2 linked regions of the Struthio camelus genome follow. The protein of the gene in region 2 interacts with the protein of the main gene of each other region in a pairwise test. Links are inferred from orthologs where the notes say so. Each region holds a gene or a part of one and is shown on either strand. Other genes may lie near its edges.

Region 1 (9,700 bases), on a different chromosome or scaffold from region 2:
TGCAGATGTTATTTCTAACTATTCTGATTTTGTTTCTACTCTTTAGGGTCTCTTTTAATAATACGAAATAATCACCTGTTGATTCATTCCAAAAGTCAGAAACAAGACTCTAAGCAGCATTCCTAGAAATCTATGCAAGAAGCTAGATTTTTAAAGCACCATAAACCTGTACTAATTCACATTACTTAAAACAAATGAAATGCTACACACAATAGTACATGAAAAAGAAAAAATCCAAAACAAAAAACAGGTGAAATAAACAGATTTCTAAATTCAGAGTGAAAACATTCTGAGCCTCCTCCCCATTCACACAGCTGAAAATGAAACCACTCCTTTTCAGTTCTCCTTCACTGAAGGAGTAATATTCTGGCTAGCTAAATGTTCCTCAAATACTAATGCCTCTGAAATGTACTGTGATTCTGAGAATATTAGTGCATGTATCTTATGTTTACAAATATGAAAAAGTGCATAGTGTGTGTAAATTATAGGTCCCCACTTTGTGGTTCAAATTTATTTATACAGAATTATTATTTTATAAATTTGCCTGCTATAAAAATTATGAATCCCACAATATCTTGTTTTGTCTTTTATTTAAAATAACATCACTGTGTATTTCTAACTTATGTACTACACTGATACTTTTCATTTCAAAGAAAATTATCTCCCTTCTACTTTTGATGGAATAAACTCATGTTAAATAGTTTTACATGGCTATTGTTTATTGAATGTATATAGATATGAAAAAGCTATATTATGACATTCCTCCAGTTCTTTCATATTTTCCCTCACTGGTGATTCTGGACAATAATTAATGCGAGAAGATGATTGCTTTTAATCACTTTAAAATCATTACAAAGGTTTTTTTTTACAGTTCAAATTCAGAAGCTGCTTTCATCAAAAGCATACAAAACCCACATATTATTAAGGAGTTCCAACTATTTTTATGAAGAATCCCAGGATTATAAATCAACCCTCAGTATTTAACAGTACTCTTCCAGGATCAGCAGATACTACTCATAACCACAACCTATTTATTTAACATGTTTTAAAATAACTAAAGAGGCTATTTCCTGGAATAGGCTTAGGAGCGAATACATATAAAAGCAGCTGGCAAATCAACAGGATTATTCTTTGCCAAATCTCAATTAGAAAATCAATTAAAAAATGAGTGCAAGTTAAAATGCAGATGCCATTGGTTTTCTCTCTCTTTATACCTCTAACTCAGGATCTGGCCCACTAGTTCTCTGATACAGCCAATATGAACAATTTAGCTGGCTTTTACGATTTTCATCTAATTTTTCCACATTAGGTATTAAGGAAAACTTCACAAATTTCCATGAGCTTAAAAAAAAAAAAAAAAAGACTGCTTTTTCCAGCTATCAAATTATTCTTCTGAAAAACAAGTTTGCTGATAAATTTCAAAAGAGTAACTGACTGAAAGCATTCACTTAAAATTCATATTTTTGGTGTCAAAGTCAAATCTTTTGATAAAATTATTATTGCTTTTTTACAGAAAGACTGTCATTATTCAAAGAAAACTGTTTTTCCCCTTTTTTATTCAAGTGCATACACCTAATACTACAAAACCTAAAATAACAGTAACAATACAGTGTGAAACTGATGTAATGGAAATCAAGGTGGACCCAGGCTATTTGCAGAATGAGCCCATTTGCAAGACTTTTAGAGATAGTTTTCAACAAGATATGAAACTGAACTACAATATAGTTGTACTGTTTAAGATATTATGGTAAATAAACAGTGCCTTTAAATACGTACCTCCCCTTCACAAAGTGCTTAGAAATACATTTTCTGAGAAATAAGCATAGACTACATAGATGAAATCATACAGTTCTTATTTCACACTAACCTGTGAGGTTTCTTTTGAATAGCTACACACTGAAAAGTTTGATGTGGTAAAAATGAATGGTTCTGCACTATATATTTGAAGTGAGAAAGGTACCATTAATAAGCTGGTAGATTACTATTTAAAATCTGTACATGGCACAGAAAGGGATGAAGTAACAAAAGCAGTAAAAATAATGATCCTTTAAGAACGTCTGTTTTCTGCAATGCCTTCAACACCATATAAAGATTTTACAATTCAGAAAGGACTTTTAAAGGTAAGAAAAAAAGAAATAATTGTAAGGGAGGGACAGGAAAACAGTGTGGTCAGGATTCCTACACCATGTAAAAGCCTCAGACTATAAACTTTCACAGCAAGTATAGACCTCCAATTGAAAATTATCACTTGTTGTGTGCCTTTTTTCCTTTAAAGTTTTATTTGTTACAGCAATTAAAACCTTTAATACTTTTTAAATATAACAAGTGATTAGCAGCTGTGCTGCTCAGCTTAGTCATTTGTATCCACGAAACGGTATTTCCTAGAGAAATATGTTGAGCAGCAGGATCCCACGTTAAGGGGGCACTCACAGAGTATGAAAAACAAAAGCAACAAATAGCTAGCAAATAACAAAACTGGTAAGAAGGTTATTACTGACTATCGATAGTCTTTCTGAAACATAAAGGAAAAAAATGCTGTTGTCATTCTTCTCTACCTCCCCCTCCCCGGGAACTTCACTGACTCTAAAGCTGAAGATTACCGAGCAGTTCTCGAGCGTCTAAAGTAAGAGCTTAAGACTTTAAAGGGGCGCTGGGATTTTGTGGCCCCTGAAGGATCGTTCTTCCTGGTCTTTGGAAGCCCAGCAGAGAGAGGCGAGCATTTAGGCCAGCCTCCCTGAAGGGGCGGACAGCTCGCATCCTGCCGCACCTGCTACGGAGGGCTGCTGGCTGCGCAGAAACGCTTCCCGTCGGTGCCGGACTCGCACACCCCAAAGCGAGGAGGCTGCGCCGGCCGGCTGGGAGCAGCAGCCAAGGGTGCGAAACGGTGCGGCGGTGCTGAGGAAGGGGACAGGGAAGGTGGAGTCACAGAGAGAACAGTCTGGCGCAGGTCTGAGAAGGTTTGGAAACTCCCATTGTAGCCTATTCAAAATAGGACAACGTCACCGTGACAGGCAGTGACGAACTCCTCAGACAATCCGTCTCACTGTCCTAAATTAGAATATTTTCCTATTGCCTAACCTAAACCTTGCTTGCTGACACTTCAGCTCGTTATCTCTTCTCCAAATAACTATGGACATAAAGAAGAGCTTCTTCCCTTTCCTCTCTGTGACAGTATTTCACCTACTGGGAAAATAACTCCACTTACTCCTCAGTTTCTGTTTTCTTTTCCTGACTGAACCGATCCTTTCGCTCTTTCCTAGCAAGCCGTGCTTTGATAATTCTCATGGCTAACGGCAAAGGCTGCAAAAACACTCTCAGCCACGGCGACCACCAACCGCTGCTCTGGAGCGCCCGCTGACCCGAGGGGGATGCGGCGGCAGCACGGCTCGGCGCGGCGGGGCCGGCAGGGCACCCGCCCCCCCCCACCAACGGCCGCGCCCGCCCTCTCGTTACCTGCGCGCTGTCGCGGCCGTTGGCGGCGGCCATAGCGCCCGCCTGGGGTCCTCTCTCGGGGCTTGCGCTGCGGGGCCGGGAGGCCGCGCGGGCGCCTGCCGAGCGCGTCCCTGCCGCTGCCCCTGGCTGCGGGGCACCGGCCGGCGCAGGCCGTAACGCGCGGCGTTCAGCCCGGCGGGGCTGACCGGGACGGAGAGGGTCTCGGCGCCTCGCCTCCAGGCGGGCGGCGGGGGAGAGGCCTGCGGGGGGGCGGGCGGCTGCGCGCAGCTGGGGCGCTAAGAGCGGTCAGGAGCCAGGCGGCGGGTGGCGGAGCGCTCGCGGCCGGCGCTGGTGGGGGGCAGCCCGGCTCGCCGCTGTGCCGGCCGCCAGGCGGGCCGGAGCGGGGCGCGCTTGCGAGCGCGTCCGGCCGAGGCGGGCCCGACCGGCCGCGCTTTCCGCTCAGGCAGCGAGTGGGGCAGCCCCGGCGGCGCAGGGGGGCCGGGCCGGGCCGGGCCGCGAAGGGAAGCAAGATGGCGGCCTCCTTGTGGCTGGGCGGTGGGGGAAGGGGGGTGATGCGGCTGCTGCTGGGCAGGCGGCCGGCTCTGGGCGCTGGCGCCTCTCGCCCCGCTCGAGGAGGCTGGAGGTTCCTGCACGGGACCTACGAGCTGCGGGGTGAGTGTCTGGGCTGGGCCCTGCGCCGTTGGCCTGCTGCAGGCCTGAGGGGGGAGGGTCGGTGGTGCTGGGGGGCCGGGGCTGCTGGAGGAGAGGGCCGCCTTCGGCAAAGAGGTGTAGGGCGGCAGGGCCGAGTGGGCCTGGTGGTGTAGTGAGCAGAGAAAACTAGCAGCGAAGTCCTGTTGGAAAAGAGGGAAGAGGCTGTGGAAATGGGATAGCTTGGCAGGGTGCTGCTTGGCCTAGCCTCTGGAGGTACAAGCACAAGGGCGTTTTGCTGATTATCTGGTAAGCGTTGCTCTGGTTTTTGATGAAAAAAATTGCTAGTTTTTCAACTATTACGGTTTTTTCCTGCTGTATAGCTCCCAAATTCTGTTTTTAGTGTTTTGCTCTCTGTCCCCAGCTTCATACTCTTCCTTCTTTGTCCTTCCTCTCCCAGAGGGTGAAGTTGAGTATAGAAGTCCCCCAAAAACATACCGTGCATGTTAAGGGGTCAAATTAGCATTTAACACTGAAATGCTATTTTGCTTCATTGTCAAAGCAGGCTTCTTGACACTAAGACCAGGTGAAGGCTGCCACACTCAGGTTCTCTGTTAGTTTGGTGGCCCAATCTAAAGGGTACCACCTTTGTAATCTGCTGGGAATAATTCCCTTCTTATTGGCAAAGTTAGGTTTATTGTCTGTTTCTACAGAATGCAAGCTTAGGTATTATTTTAAATAATTTATTTTCCAATTATCTTAGGAGCCCGGACAAATATTTCCATATGACATCTAGGACAACAGGATTAAAGACTATAGCATCTAGGCTTTAAAAAAAATTGAGTAATTTTTAGAAAAAGATACTACTTTTTTTACTCTAACTGATGTGAAAAATCATGTGGAAAAGGAGGACTTCATGTAATAGAAGAAGAAAAGAAAACATAAGAAATGGTCAATTTGGAAGAAGTTATAACTCATCAGTAATTTTGAAAGGAAGCAAGCAAGCAAACAAAAAGCAGAAACCCTGGTCAAATTACTAGGAGGAATAAAATCGAAAAGGTGACAGCACAGAATGATGTAATTCTTGTCTGGTAGATGCAGTAAAGAAATATTTTATAAATAAATTAGTACAAGAGAGAAGAGTTAGTTTGTTATACAAGGAAACGTACACAAGATCAAAGTCTTTCCTTTTTCAATTAAACCGTTACAAAAAGGTTACACCAATGCCCAAAACTATTGGTCGGTGCTAGACTAGGTGAAGGGAGAAGGTTATTCGGTTAAGTCAGATGTCATTTAGGCAGGTGAGTATTGTGTCAGATGGTAGTTGAGCAATTTTGAACGACAAAGCTGAAGCTGCTCTGTTCTTTTCCACTATCTTATAATAAAAGAAAGAAGGAATTATATGCAAGTCTTCTCCAGTGAAGAGAAGAATCTTTTCAGAGATTGCAGTTAACCAACGAACCAGACTTGTAAGCACTGAGAAGGCCTATCAAAACCTTTTTTTATCAGACCAGTCTGACAGCCTTTTGTACTGGGGCACCGCGTTGTCTGTTTGGGAAAGATTGATTTTTCATAGGGCTTTGGCATTGTCTCCTACATACTTCTCATAAACAGGCTATAGAAACATGGCCTCAAGGAGTCTCTGTAGGGTTGCTCAAAGTGGTTGGGAAGGCAAGGAATAATTATAGTTCACTGTAAAACTGGAAAGATGTATTGCATGAGGTCCATCAGGGACCTCATGTCTGGAATTGGGTTTTAATTGCCATTTTTGTTAGAAGCCTAAATAATGGAATGAATACTTCCCTTCCATTTGAGATGCATCTGAGATGGGAGAGATTGCAAATGTATTTTGAGGACAGGATTAGACTTTAAATTGATCATAGCAAATTAGGTAGAACAGCCTGAGAAAAGTAGTGTGCAAAGCATAGAAAGAAATGCCTGTTACAGGATAGGACATGACAGTCATAATGTTGCAAGGGAGATCTGGGTTTTACAGTAGATTGTAAATTAAGCACAAGCCTGTATCATCATCATGCTGCAAAAATTATATTGGGTTGGAAAAGCTAGGAGTGTCATGTAGGGGACATGTGGTAGTCTTCTTTCCACTCTACTTTGTACTCGGAATGCCTCAAACAAAATTTTTCCTCAGCTGCCTGTTTGGGAAGTATCCAAGAAAGATATGGGCTGCTTGGACAGAATTCAGACAGAGGAGCGAGAATTATGAGGGGTCAAGAAAATGTCATCAGTGAGGAAAAACTGAAGTAGTTGGAGTCCAGAGGGTAAAAAAGATTGATGGGAGAATAAATCTTCAAATGTAAAAAATATTCTGTTGAGGATAAGGCCAAGAAAAAAAAAAAGGATGTTTATGACTGAGAACAGTTGATTACTTTCTTAATTGTAAGTATAGTTAAGCACGTAAGTAGAAGGAGGCAGCCTAAATTAAGGGTTTTTTTTTTTTTTCCAGTGCTTGGAGATTCTCCATCATCTTTTTCTTCTACCAGTGATGCTTCAAGTAGTTGGAGAAGGATTCAGAGGCTTTATTTCATGTATTTTTTGCCTGTTTGTTTTAAATGGAGAAAAGGAATTTAAATTTATTCATTGCATGCTTAGAAAACTACATAGAAGTCAACCTATGGGGTCAGGGCAACATCCTTTCAAGGTACCATTTTTTATTCCCAGGAGTTTGTTTTTAGAAAATTGCTAGGCAGATCATCTCCTTGCATATTTTCCTCTCTCTCAAAGAGTTATGGGAAGAATTTTGGATGCCAGGTGAGATTTGAGCCTTTCTTCCCCAACTCCATTTGCTGTTACAACTTGTAAAACATTAAACAACATTCTGGTGCATTTCTTGAGGTACTGGTGTTACAGTGAGCATAAAATACTTGAACTCTTTCTTTTTTTTTTTTTAAATGCACTTATAAAGAAGTGAGTTCTTGTTAACCGTATGTAATAAAACTCCAGGCATCTTATGATAAAATTGAAAAGTAGTTTAGAGACTTGTTAATCATTGTCTTTTTGATCTCAGTATACCCTTCTTTTCAGCACTAGCTTTAGCTTGTTCAGTCTTTCCTCATGGATGAGTTTCTTTGAACTTCTTAATATCCTCACTGCTTTTCAAGGTGGAATACATTTGAATGACGTCATGTTTCTTAAATGTGTATTGTAGCTTCTAAAATGCGGGACTGAAGTAGAAAACTCCTAACTTCTCTGGTAAAATACTGCTCTTTAGGACACTGCTCACTCTTGGTTTCTTGTTTGAGAATTAAAACTTTATCCTGGTTCTGCTTTAGCATTGATTTTATTTCTTCTTTTTTTTGGTTTTGTTTTGTTTCTGAAAATGCCACCATTTACATTTTTGGTTCATACAGAGCTGGTTTTGCTGTGCTACTTTTTTCTGTGTTTTTTTTTTTTTTTTTGCTTCTCTTTCTGCTCCCCTCTTTGGGAGGGGTGGGAGGAGAAGGTTGTTTTGTGTAATCAGAACACTTCTTGACTTCAGTTATCTGTTTTGAGTATATCCTAACTGAACTCTTACTTTGCCAGTTAGTTATGTGACAGAGGGAATAATTGGAAGGAAGGTAACTGTATGAGATAAGAACTGAAGTACAGACAGATACGCTACAGGAACAGGGCAGGAAAGGTGAAAAAATTTCTAAATGAAATGCTATTAACAGCATAACCTGTGGTTAACTTCAATTTTGACCTACCTGATGTTTTTCAGATCCTTGCCTTTTAGCTGGTGTGCCTAGATGGCCAATGTTGTGTTAGAGGAAGGGAAATTTTATTCCAGCTCTACCACTTGAGAGGTTGCTTGCTTTGCTGACTGATGATGTTCTTAGTAAACAATTAGTGAATCAAAGGCATAAAGCATATAGGTGCCCAATGTCTTTTGAAAATTTGAATCCATTAACAAATAAAAACTGCAAATAAAAAGTCTTTGTGGATTAGGTCATGAAGGTTTTGTTCATTTATAAATGGATTAAAAGAGACACACTCATGTGGAACCAAAGGATGTGATTTTTCTTCTAGCACAGCCACTACTTACAAAAAAGTTTTGTTGGGAATGTGATTTGGCCCAGAGCCTCTGCTGAAAATGGAGGATTAGCAAATCAGCTTAGTTTCATTATTTATTTTTGAATGCTTCTTTATTTATCTGAGATACAGTAGGCTATCAGCAATTGGTGACCAGATAGCTTTTGTTCAGGGCTAGCCTGCAGATTGGATCTGGCCCATAAAAATAAATAGTCTACTTCTTGCTGCCCTCTTCCTTGGGGATTTTCTGATGCTGTCCTGTTATGTGACTAAGGCTTTTGACCTCATCATTTGATGGAGAATGCCAATGTTTTCTTATGGTGAATGCACTTTCAGTTATATGAAAGGAGGGTGGCGATACTGTGACATCTGATACCTCAGTGTCTCACTAGAAGACTTTCTTGCTGCAGTTCAGCTTGGGCATCACAGGTGTGCGGGCCCTTTCAGGAAGACAAAGGAGGAATACTGAGTAAAACAGCTTCTCTTTAGTTGTGTTCTGATGCTTAATTATTGTTCTTCCTGCACCTTTTGCCTAAATACATGCCTACAGACCAGCCAGAGGTGTGGATTTGCCTATAAACAGTATCTTCAGCATATAAAATCAGTCTAGGGTTTTGATATTACATTGTTTGACTATGTTTTTTTCATTTAAAGGATTTTCCTTTTATAATATGGCATTTGAAGATTTCTTAAGCTGGATCCTAAAGCAAAAGCAGATTAATTCAAAATAAGCTCTGCTAAACAAAAATAACAGCTCTTTTCCCTTGTAATTGGTAATTGCAACATTACAGCCCAGCTGGGGGCAAAAAGTGTTAGTGTTGCTGGTAGATATATCCTGTGACATCTCTGTTTTGTCAAACCTGCAGATGGTGCAAGTGCATTATCTTTCAGTGATTTGAACAATGTTGCTTTAATATGTTGTTGTGTTGAAGGGAATGATGTGCCTCTGACCTGTGGAATGTGAAGGATGTGCTTTAGGAGATCAAGGAGTTAAAACCACAGTGGAAAAAAGATTGGATGATTTCTTCTGCTGTTGGTCAAACCTTATATCTCTTTGTTCACACTATGCATCCCTGCAAGCCGAGAAATGTGAAATTCTAGCTATGCCTGTACATAGGCTTTTGAATGACTTTACTTATGTTAGTAAAAGTACTAATGTTTAGCTCTGCTTCCTAATGGCAGCAAATTCTTTTGTGATACGTTTGTATTTCAACAAGTAATTGAAGTTCTAATAACTTTGTGGAGTTGTGTAGTAAGTTCAGCGGAAGGCCAGAACACTGATGAAACAAGTGTACTAGTGGGCCTCCTTAATGAAAGGAAGAAAAATAGAATGAAGTTTTACATTGGAGGACTGTCAGATTTTCTTTGTTTTTTTTTTTTTAATGTTGCTTAATCTTAGCTTTGATATTGGATTGGAGTAAATCTTAATTTTCTAATGATGGGAAAGTACAGCATAGGAAGTCATGAAGTATCTCTCCAGTGGGGCACCTTAAAGTGTTTATGTCTTCGGTTCATTGCAGTTTTTCTGTTTTGACAAAGCTCTAGCTGTTCCCATATCAGAGGTCAAACAGGAGGCGATGAACCTGTGTCA
Region 2 (10,214 bases):
GTTCGCGTCTCCGAGCGTGCCTGGATTGGGCTGCGCCGGGAAGGGGCGCGTCCCTATGGGCTGAATTTTAGGGTTTGGCTGCTTCAGGCTTTGACAAACGGTCCCCTCCCTCCCTGACCTGCTGCTTGGCGGCTTCCAATCCCCTGGGAGCAGCACCAGCGGAGGCCGAACAGAGGCGAGCCGCCGGCTGGCGTAGCCCTCCGCTGCCCGGGGCGCCTCGGCCGCGGTCACTCGCCGCAGCGCCTGCGTTCGCCTCCTTGTTAAACCGCGTCCAAAGCGCCTCGATGCCGTAGTAAAGTCCCCTGCTGTCGAGGAATCGCAGCAGCTCCGACGCGCTGATCCGCTCCCGCTCCTTCCCAGCGCTGTCGCGGCGTAGAAAGCCGGCCGCTACCCTCGGGGCGCCGGCCGTCGCGGCGAGCCAGGTCCGCCGCCGAAACCGCTAAACTGGCCGTTTAGCGACGAGCGGGTTCCCCGCGGGGGCCGCGGCGGGAGGAGCCGGCCCGCGGCGCTGCGACGGACCATCTAACGGAAGGCCTCCCTGTTCCGTTGTATAGTGGGCAGCGTTGTCCCCGCAGCGCCCGCGGCTCGGGTAACGGTTGCAGTCTTCTGTCCCTTCACCCAGGTGGGCAGGCGGAGAGGTGGGAACAAGCTAGCCCTGAAGACGGGAGTGGTAGCCAAGAAGCAAAAGACCGAAGAGGAGGTAGGTAGCCCTGGGACGGGACGGGGGGGGCATGGGGGCTCCCTGCCTCCTCCCTGGGGGCGGTTTTGGGTCCGCAGCTGCTTTTCTGCCCCCTCGCTCTTTCGGTGAGCGGCTAGGCCTAGCGGGAAAACGGGGGCGAGGGGCGCTGCCGGCCCCTCGCTGCCTCCTGCGGTGCTGCCCGTCGCTGTGGGCAGAGCCGGTTTGCAGCTTGCGGCCATCGCGAGCGCCCCGGGGGAGCCCGTTTGTCCGAATTTGGGGGTTTCCTTCACTGCCAGGATCCTGCAAGCACGAATCCCCTCGGGGGAGCGGGGCGTTGCCTGCCACAACCCCTCTTCCAGACTCGCCTCTTATCACCGGTGTTGTTTGTTCTTCCTTTGTTATTTTTTCCCTCCCCTCCCTCCTCTGCAGGTTTTGACAAGTAAAGGAGACGCCTGGGCCAAGTACATGGCAGAAGTGAAAAAATACAAAGCCCATCAGTGCAGCGACGACGACAAAACCAGGCCCCTGGTGAAATAGCCTCTCTCCCGGTGCCCGCACGGACTGTTTCCCTGTTGTACATACTTATTTAAACAGCGGAGGAGGCTAGCGGCTCGCACAGACATCCACCAAGTGCTCCCAGCGGCTTGTTCGAGGTGTTTTTATATGTAAAAAAAATATATATATATCTCTCTCTCTCTTTCTCTCTGTCACACGCGCACCTGGGCACGCGGGGACATCGCCAAGTCTCTTATTCACTGACTTAACCCTTCTTTCGTTCTGCTGGGAAATAAGGACTCTGGACTGGCCGTAGCTCTTTGTAGCGGGAACGCGCCTGTGGGGGCCGCGCGCCCGCCCGCCGGCCGGAGCCACCCCCGTCGCCCCGCTCGCTTCCGCGTCGGTAACTCCGAGATTCCCGTGGCTTTGCCTCGCCGCTTGTCTTCCCGCCGCGTGCCCAGATTTCCCGCCCGGTTTGGTCTCTTCCCGTTCCGCCTCCGTTTCCGCGAGTAGAAACCGTAGCTGGCGGGACAGAAACGCTCCCGCCTGGCTGTCGCGAAGGGTAAAAACTCGTCGGCGAGGGCGCCGCTGTTGCATTGAGTCATTAAAGACCTCGGATATTTCGAAGCCGCTAACCGCTTCCTGGGTGTTCTTGGCGCGGGGGCTGCGTCCCGGTGGAGCTTTTGCCCTCCCCGCTGCCTTTGTTGCCCGGCCTCACCGCTGTACTCCGAGGGATTTCTTTTTTCCCTCCCATGTAGGTTCCTCCGTGGGGTAACAGCGACATTACAGCGAGCTCCGGCTGTTTATTTTTTCCCCTTCCCCCAGGGGCTCAGGCTCTCCCGAAGTCACTCGGTGCTTTCGGATAACCGGAGGCTTCGGCAATATCCACTCGCGAAGGCGGCGGGGGGGGCTGCCCGCCCTCGGCATCGCTCACCGGGCAGGAGGGAACAAGAAGAGCTTTAAATCCGCCCTGTGCCGAGGTTTCTACCTCCGTCCGGGTGCCCTTGTCCTGTTTTTTTCTCCCCCAGGCGGCTCCGGGAGGGTGCGGATGAGAGCTGTTGCCGCTGCCTGCGCCTCCGCGTCCCTTCCGGTCGGCAGGGAGAGCTGCCGGAGGAGGTGGAACAGGTCGCCCGGAGCCCGGACTGACCCTGCTTCCCCGATCCTGCAGCCCCTTTTATTCTGAAAATCCTTCACAAATGTTTAAACGTTCTGGCTCTTTTCCTTTTTGAATAAAAATTCTCTTGCGAACAGAGGTGTCTTGCTGTGTCTGTTCACCCTCCCCAGCTGCTCTTGCACCTTCCTCCCGGGGAAGGATTTCACGCCAGGCCGCGGCTCTTCCTTTTGTTGTTGTTGTTTTTTTTTTTAATTTTCCTTTGGAGCCGCAGGGGGAGCAGGATGCGCTGTACCCCCCCCCCAGCCCTGCTTCCCCCCACCCTGCCGCACCCGGACACGCGGAGCTAGGCCATACGGTTTATTCGTTCCATCCAAACGGGCCGCGCGCCCCCCTCCCGCTGCCCGCCCAGCGCCGGGGCGGGACGGCATCGCGGCGGGCCGAGCACTTCCGCGCCTCGAAGCCGGCGAGGCGCCGGCGGCCCCCGCCCCGGGCCAGCGAGCCGGGCAGGAGGGAGAGACCCGAAACGGGGAGGGAGGGGGATGCGGAGGCGGTAGGAGCCCCCCTGGGCCGGCCACCAGCTCTCAGGAACGTCCTGGAGAGTCCGATGAGGCGCTCGGGGCCGGAAAATGGAGCCCGGTCCCGCTTCCGACCCTGTCGGTGGGTGTGTTGAAACCCGCCGCTGAACCGGGCTCGGCTCCGTTCCTATAAAACACCCGGGGAAGGGAATGTCTCGGGCGGGAACGTTAAAACGAAGCCGTAGCTGACGGAGGGGGAGAAGTGGGGCAGCGAGGGCCGCGCGGCCTCCTTTTCCCCAAGCCGAGAGGATCCGGCATCCCCAGGAGCCCGGATAAATCGTTCTCGGTGGGATTGCTCCGAATTACAGGGAATGCCGGGCTCCTCCGCTTTCAATCGCAGCTCTGGCATCAGGCACAGCGGCCACCAGCTCCAGGCACCCATCAAAGCAGCTGCTAAAGGACTATTTAAAGCAAAAAAAAAAAGAGGAGCAACAACTCCTTAAAAACAGGGCAGGGGCTTCTGCTCCTCTCCAAGAAACCAGCCCTCCGGGATCCGGCCTCTCTGCGGGCCGCCTCCGGCTCCGAGGGCTGCTCCGCTCCTCCGGCGGGAGCGAGGGCTGCTCCCAAAGGCCGAGACGGGGCCGGGTGACGCAGGGCATCTTCGGAGCCGCGCCGACTCTTCCCGAAAGGCCCGGAGGAGGCAGCCTTTCACCGGGAAACTCGGAGTCTTTGGTGCATCCTCTTAGCGTGCAAAAAAAGGGGGAGAACCGGAGCCCGAGGAGCCCCCTCCGCGGCCCCGGCCTCGCCGCGGCAGCTCAGTTAGTCTCGTAGGAGGAGAGCAGGGCGGCGTCGACGGGCTCCATGCAGGAGGGGCAGGTGAAGGAGCGCATGAGCCAGTCGTCGATGCAGGCCACGTGGTAGACGTGCAGGCAGGGCAGGAACCGCACCGGGTCTCCGTAGGTGAACTCCAGCATGCAGATCACGCACCTGCGGGGTGGCGGAAAAGGCAGGGAAGTGAAACCTGGCTTTTGGGCGCTGCCGGCAGCTCCCCGAGGCGGCGATCAAGCCTTTCGGGGGGCTGCAGGCTGAGAAATCGGCACTCCGCCGTCCCTCCTGCCCTTAAAATCCCCGGGGAAACGGAAACGGGGATGAGGTGGGCATGGCAAAGGCAGGAACAGCCTCCGGGAGGGGATGGGGGTTCCCCGAGCTCGAACCCCGCCGCCCCAGCCGGCGTTTTGGGGGGACTCACTCCTTCGTTTTCTTCTCGGAGGGCTCGGCGCCGGGGTCGAAGAGGCCGCGGGGCAGGTGCTGGATGAGGCCGATGCGCTGGGCGATGCGGACCTGCTCGTCCTCCGTGAGCTGGGTGGCCAAGCGGCGCTGGCTGGGCGTGGGGTGGTACACGGGCACCGGCTCGCGCTCCTGCGGGGCGACGGCAACCGCCGGCCTTGGGGAGCGCCGACGGACCCCCAAACCTGCCTCCCCCCTGCTCCTGGGGGGGGGGCTTGGGGGGACCCTCAACCCTCGGCAGGGCACCCAATTCCCTCCTACAGTGCCCGCTCCCAGTGCTCCCAGGGCGCCCTGAGCCCCCCAGTTCCCCCTCCCCGTGCTCCTAGTTCCTCCCTGCTCCTCCCTTTTCCCCCTCCAGTGCTCCCAGTCCCCCCCAGGGCACCCTGATCCCCCCAGTTCCTCCTTCCGGGGCTCCCAATTTCTCCCCATTCCCCCAGTTTCACCATCCCAGTGCTCCCAGTCACCCCCAGTGCACCCTGATTTCCCTCCCTAGTGCTCCCAGATCCTCGAGGCAACTCTGACGTCCCCCAGTTTCCCCTTCCCAGTGCTCCCAGTTACCCCCAGTGCTCCCTGATCCCCCAAGTTCCCCCTCCCAGTGCTCCCAGTTACCCCCAGTGCACCCTGATTTCCCTCCCTAGTGTTCCCAGATCCTCGAGGCAACTCCGACGTCCCCCAGTTTCCCCTTCCCAGTGCTCCCAGTTACCCCCAGTGCTCCCTGATCCCCCAAGTTCCCCCTCCCAGTGCTCCCAGTTACCCCCAGTGCACCCTGATTTCCCTCCCTAGTGCTCCCAGACCCCCGAGGCAACTCCGACGCCCCCCAGTTTCCCCTTCTCAGTGCTCCCAGTTACCCCCAGTTCACCCCGATCCCCCCTCAGTGCTCCAGGCCCCGCAGTGCGCCCCGCTCCCCTCCCCAGTTCCCTCTCCCAGTGCTCCCAGTTACCCCCAGTGCGCCCCTGCTCCCCCTTCCCAGTGCTGCCAGGCCCCCAGCGCACCCCCCACTCCCCCCCGCCCCCAGTTCCACCTCCCAGCGCTCCCAGTTCGTCCCGCTCCCCCCGTGTCCCCCTCCCAGTACTCCCAGTGCCCCCTCCCAGTGCTCCCAGTCCCTCCGGACCTGGTAGGGCGGCGGGGCCGGGGGAGGCGGCGGGTCCCCGGGCCCCAGGCTGGCTCCGTCCACGGAGTCGTTGAGCAGCGAGAGGTCGTCGGCCGCCTGCGAGGACAGGCAGTTCCCCATCCCCGGGACCGGGATCGGGACCGAGACCGGGGCCGGGCCGGGACCGGGCCGGGCCGGGCCGGGCTCTGCCACCCCCTCCCGGCGGTGGTACCGCCCGCAGCGCGAGGCACGCCGGGAAATGCAGTCCGGCGCGGAGGGACTCCGCGCATGCGCAGAGCTGCGTCGCTGCCATTATTCCCCCCCTTTCTCCCGGCGATGGTACCGCCCGCGCCGCGGGGCGCGTCGGGAAATGGAGTCCGGCGCGCAGGGACTCCGCGCATGCGCGGGGAGGGCGCGGGAACGGGCGGGGAGGCGGGAAGAGGCCTTGAGGCCGCGGGACGCCGGTTCCCGGAGCTCCACCCCCGCCCTCCCGCCGAGCGGGGAGGGGGCGTGGCCTCTCCTAACCCCGCCCAGTCACCACCGCGCGCGCCGCGCCCCCCCCCCCCCACTTACCCCGGCCCACGTGACGCGGCGCCGTCCTTTCCGCGCGCGCTCACGTGGTGCCCGCGGAGGGCGGCGGACGGTGGCCGGCGGGGGTCAGCGCCCGCGTGCCGCGCTCGCCTCCCTCCCTCCCTTTCCCCCCCCCCCCAACCTCTCCCCCGCGGGCAGCGCCCGGTGCCGCCGCGGGAGCGCGAGGCCGCCCCGAGCCCCCTCCCGCCTCCTCCTCCCCCCCTCCCCGGTCCGCCCCCCCCCCTCCTCCTCCTCCTCCTCCTTCAGGCAGGTACCGGCCCGGCGCGGCCCCGGGCAGCGTGGCGGGGCCTGGCGAGCGCGGGCGGCCCGGCGGGAGCGGAGCGGGGGGGGGATTGGGTGGATTTGGGGGGGGGGGGGACAAAGTGGGGGCCGGAGGGGTAAAGTGGTGTTAGAGAGGGCAAATTGGGGGCTGGGGGGGGAGGAATTGGGGGCTGAGGAGGCAAAATGGGGTCTGGATTGGGATAAAGTGGGGGCAGGAGGAGCGAATTGGGGTCTGGGGGGGCAAAATGGGGTCTGGGGGTGTGAACTGGGGTCTGGGGGGAGAATTGGGATCTGGGAGGGCAAAATGGGCTCTGGGAGGGAGAATTAGGGGTCTGGGGGAAGAATTGGGGCCTGGGAGGGCAAAATGGGGTCTGGATGGGGATAAAGTGGGGGGCAGGAGGAGCGAATTGGGGTCTGGGGGGAAATTGGGGTCTGGATGGAGATAAAGCGGGCAGGAGGAGTGAACTGGGGTCTGGGGGGAAAATTGGGATCTGGGAGGGCAAAATAGGGTCTGGGGGGGAGAATTAGGAGTCTGGGGGGGAGAATTGGGGTCTGGGGAGGGCAAAATGGGGTCTGGGAGGGGAGAATTGGGGTCTAGGGGGAAGAATTGGGGTTTGGGAGGGCAAAATGGGGTCTGGGGGGAGAATTGGAGTCTGAGGGGGAAATTGGGGTCTGGGGAGGAGAATTGGGATCTGGAGCAGCAAAATAGGAGCAGGAGGTACAAACTGGGGGTTGGGGGGTTGTGCCGGGGGGGTGGGTTGTGCAATAGGAGGGGCTGTAGTGGGGGTGGATTGAGGAGGAGGAGTGCTGCCGGTGGCAAATTTTGGGGGGGGGGGCTGCCGTTGGGTGAGGGGGTTGCAGTGGCGAGAGGGTTGAACGCGTGTGTGATGGGGGGGTTATGGCGGGGGGGGCAGTTTCCGGGTGAGGGAGCACCCGGAGATGCCGGGATGGCGGCGGGACGGGACACGCGGGTGAGCGAGGCGCCGCTGCCGGCGGCCGTGAGGGAATTACAGCCCCGGGGGGGGGGCAGTTACAGGGGGGGTGATCTGCCCCCCTCCCTGCCCGGTGCAGGCTGCAGCCGCCCCCACGTGTCCGTGCCCCCCCCCCCCCCCCGGCAGGGATTTCCTCTCCCCTCCGAGCCACCCCGCGGCCCCGCTCCATGTGCTGCAGCGTGGGGCCCCCTCCCGACCCCCCTTCCTGGGGGTCACGCTCGCAGCGGGGACGTCCCCTCCGGTCCCAGCCCCGCTGCTGCCACCCCCCCCCCCACCCCCAGGACGTGCTCCCGACTCCCTCGGGGTGGGTTTGGGGAGGGAGGTGTGCTTCGCCTCTCCGCTCCGGTTGACTGCTTCCCAGCCCCCCAAATTTGCAGCGATTCGGGACCCCGAAACAAGGTGGCAGCGGCCGGCGGGATCCGGCTGCGGCTTCGAGCCGCGCTCGGCTGCCCCGCGAGGGTTTTGTGCCGTTCGCGTCCCCCCGCCTGCAGCCCAGCGACGCTGATCTCTCCGTGTCCCCCCCCTTTCCAGGAAAGACCCCCACCATGGACTGGCAGCCGGACGAGCAGGGCCTCCAGCAGGTCCTGCAGCTGCTGAAGGACTCGCAGTCGCCCAACACGGCCACGCAGCGCATCGTGCAGGACGTATCCTTGCGGTGGGGGCGGCCGGGGCTCTCCCGCCTCCCCAGTCCCTGCCGGGGAGGGCCGGGGGCTCCGTCGCTCACCCATTGGGGCTGGCACGGGGGGAAACGCGAGCCGGGTCCGTCTCTAGAACCAGCTTGACGCGTTGGCTGGAGCTGGGTGAAGGGGAGGCTCCAGGGGGATTAAAAACCTTCTGAGCTCATGGGGTCGGCAGCTAGATGGAGGCAGGATCGGTCTGGAGGAGGTCGAGCTGGGAAACGGGGCTTTTTCGGCTCTTCAGCCAGGGCCGAGCCTGCGTTTGGCTGCTCCGGGACAGCATCCCCTTCCCAATCCCCTTCCTTAACAGCCCCGGGGGCAGAAACTGAAGCAACTGAACCAATTCCCCGACTTCAACAACTACCTGATCTTCGTGCTGACGCGGCTGAAGTCGGAAGGTGGGTCTGCGGCCGGGGTGGGGGGGTTTCCTGGCTGCCCCGAGGTGTTGGCCGGGAGCTGAGCCCGCGCGTGCCGGGACCGGCACCTCCCCGGGATAACGCGTGCCTCCTAGATGAGCCCACGCGGTCGCTGAGCGGCCTCATCCTGAAGAACAACGTCAAGGCGCACTACCAAAGCTTCCCCCAGCCCGTGGCCGAGTTCATCAAGCAGGAGTGTCTCAACAACATCGGCGACGCGTCCTCCCTCATCCGGGCCACCATCGGTGAGAGGGGGCAGGGGATGCCCTCGGGGCGGCTGCCGAGTGGGGAAACGGCTTGGGATGGAGCCCCCGCCCTTACCCCGGTCCCGGCTCACGCGGCCCCTCCGGCCCCGCAGGCATCCTCATCACCACCATCGCCTCCAAGGGGGAGCTGCAGATGTGGCCGGAGCTGCTGCCCCAGCTCTGCAACCTGCTCAACTCGGAGGATTACAACACGTGCGAGGTGAGCGGGGGGCCGCGGCGGCGCGGGGCGGGGTGGGGGGGCCCGCGACCCGCCGCTGACGCCCCTCTGGCGCGCAGGGGGCGTTCGGGGCCCTGCAGAAGATCTGCGAGGACTCGTCCGAGCTCCTGGACAGCGACGCGCTCAACCGGCCCCTCAACGTCATGATCCCCAAGTTCCTCCAGTTCTTCAAGCACTGCAGCCCCAAGATCAGGTGGGGAGGGGGCTGGGGGGGGCGTCGCGTGGCTCTTAACGAATTTGGGTGGGAAGGGAGCACCTCTGTGTCACGGTTTTTGTCCCCCCACTGGCATCCTAATGGCTCCTTGTTCTTGTCCTCAACCCCCCCAAGCGTGCTCCAGCTCCATCCGTGCCCCCGATAAGCAGTGGGACATGGCAATTTGAACCGCCACCAGGCTGGGCAGCTCCAGCTCAGCCTGTCCCTGTGTCCCCGGCCGTCCCGCTGGGACTCACTCATGTGTCCCCAGGTCTCCCGCAGTCCTTCCCGCTCCGTACCGGGGCTGGGGGTTATTCCAGCCCAGGCACAAATTTCTGTTTGCCTTTTGTGAGTTAATTCAGGGGCCGATGGGGTCCAAGAGGCGCAAACAGGCTGGGCTGCTCCCCTTTCTCGCCCGGCATCGTTAGCTAACGAGCCTGTCAGAGCCCCCCACAGTCTGTCTTCTCCCCGACCCGCGGCTCAGGTCCCACGCGATCGCCTGCGTCAACCAGTTCATCATGGACCGGGCTCAGGCGCTGATGGAGAACATCGACACCTTCATCGAGGTGAGCGGCCGGGGAGAAACGCTTCCCCGCCCCGGTTCAGGATGGTCCTGCTGGCCGAGCTGCCCGAGGGAGGACCGTGGGCCGCCCCGGGTGACTCGGGGCTCTCGGTGTCCCCCGCCTCGCAGCACCTCTTTGCGCTGGCGGTGGACGAGGACCCCGAGGTGCGGAAGAACGTGTGCCGAGCCCTGGTGATGCTGCTGGAGGTCCGCATCGACCGCCTCATCCCCCACATGCACAGCATCATCCAGGTAAGGGCCTGGCTCGTGCCCGCTCCGGCGGAGCCGCTTCCCGGTCGTTCCCCCCTCCCCTCGTTGCTGGGGGTCCGGTTTTGGAGGGGGAAGGGGCTGACGTCTCTCCCCGGCGCCCTCCCGGCAGTACATGCTGCAGCGGACGCAGGACAGCGACGAGAACGTGGCGCTGGAGGCCTGCGAGTTCTGGCTGACTCTGGCCGAGCAGCCCATCTGCAAGGAGGTGCTGACGTCCCACCTGATGCAGTGAGTACCCCCGGGCGGCCCCATCTTGTCCCCCCCCGGCCCTCGACACCCCCGGCCCGGTCCCTCAGCGTCCCCTTTTCCCCCCTCGCAGGCTCATCCCCATCCTGGTGAACGGCATGAAATACTCCGAGATCGACATCATCTTGCTCAAGGTACGAGGGCGCTGAGCTCTCCGCTCCCTGCTCCAGCCGGCTCCAGGACGGGGCTGATACTGGTTAAACTGGTGGAGGGACTGGGGCCACTGGGAGATGAAGGGCTGCAACGGAGCCGGGGAAGGGCAGGGGCCGCCCCACGACCTCCCGGAGGTGATGCAAAACCCCGAGCTGACGCCGGTGATGGCAGTTGTGTTCGTACTGTCTGA

The links.
Region 1: the proteins of TNPO2 (region 2) and APIP interact in binary tests that used the Homo sapiens proteins (3 or more experiments, as listed by UniProt). The two-hybrid records come from large-scale screens. The link is inferred for Struthio camelus from reciprocal best matches to the Homo sapiens genes TNPO2 and APIP.

The regions. Positions count from the first base shown.
Region 1 is NC_090946.1:34,126,247-34,135,946, forward strand, and holds the start of APIP (methylthioribulose-1-phosphate dehydratase), read right to left. Parts: upstream 3,806-9,700; 5' UTR 3,487-3,805; coding exon 3,454-3,486; intron 2,948-3,453; exon of another isoform or gene 2,751-2,947; intron 1-2,750. Other genes in the region: PDHX (pyruvate dehydrogenase protein X component, mitochondrial), read left to right, coding at 3,963-4,104. UniProt on the Homo sapiens protein: Catalyzes the dehydration of methylthioribulose-1-phosphate (MTRu-1-P) into 2,3-diketo-5-methylthiopentyl-1-phosphate (DK-MTP-1-P).
Region 2 is NC_090972.1:4,318,945-4,329,158, forward strand, and holds the start of TNPO2 (transportin-2), read left to right. Parts: upstream 1-5,812; 5' UTR 5,813-6,021; intron 6,022-6,730; exon of another isoform or gene 6,731-6,750; intron 6,751-6,891; exon of another isoform or gene 6,892-7,003; intron 7,004-7,401; exon of another isoform or gene 7,402-7,423; intron 7,424-7,555; 5' UTR 7,556-7,569; coding exon 7,570-7,668; intron 7,669-8,023; coding exon 8,024-8,099; intron 8,100-8,212; coding exon 8,213-8,362; intron 8,363-8,475; coding exon 8,476-8,582; intron 8,583-8,659; coding exon 8,660-8,793; intron 8,794-9,277; coding exon 9,278-9,359; intron 9,360-9,484; coding exon 9,485-9,607; intron 9,608-9,734; coding exon 9,735-9,853; intron 9,854-9,944; coding exon 9,945-10,005; intron 10,006-10,214. Other genes in the region: TRIR (telomerase RNA component interacting RNase), read left to right, coding at 623-700, 1,109-1,216; RING finger protein 11, read right to left, coding at 3,619-3,790, 4,053-4,222, 5,202-5,321. UniProt on the Homo sapiens protein: Probably functions in nuclear protein import as nuclear transport receptor. Serves as receptor for nuclear localization signals (NLS) in cargo substrates.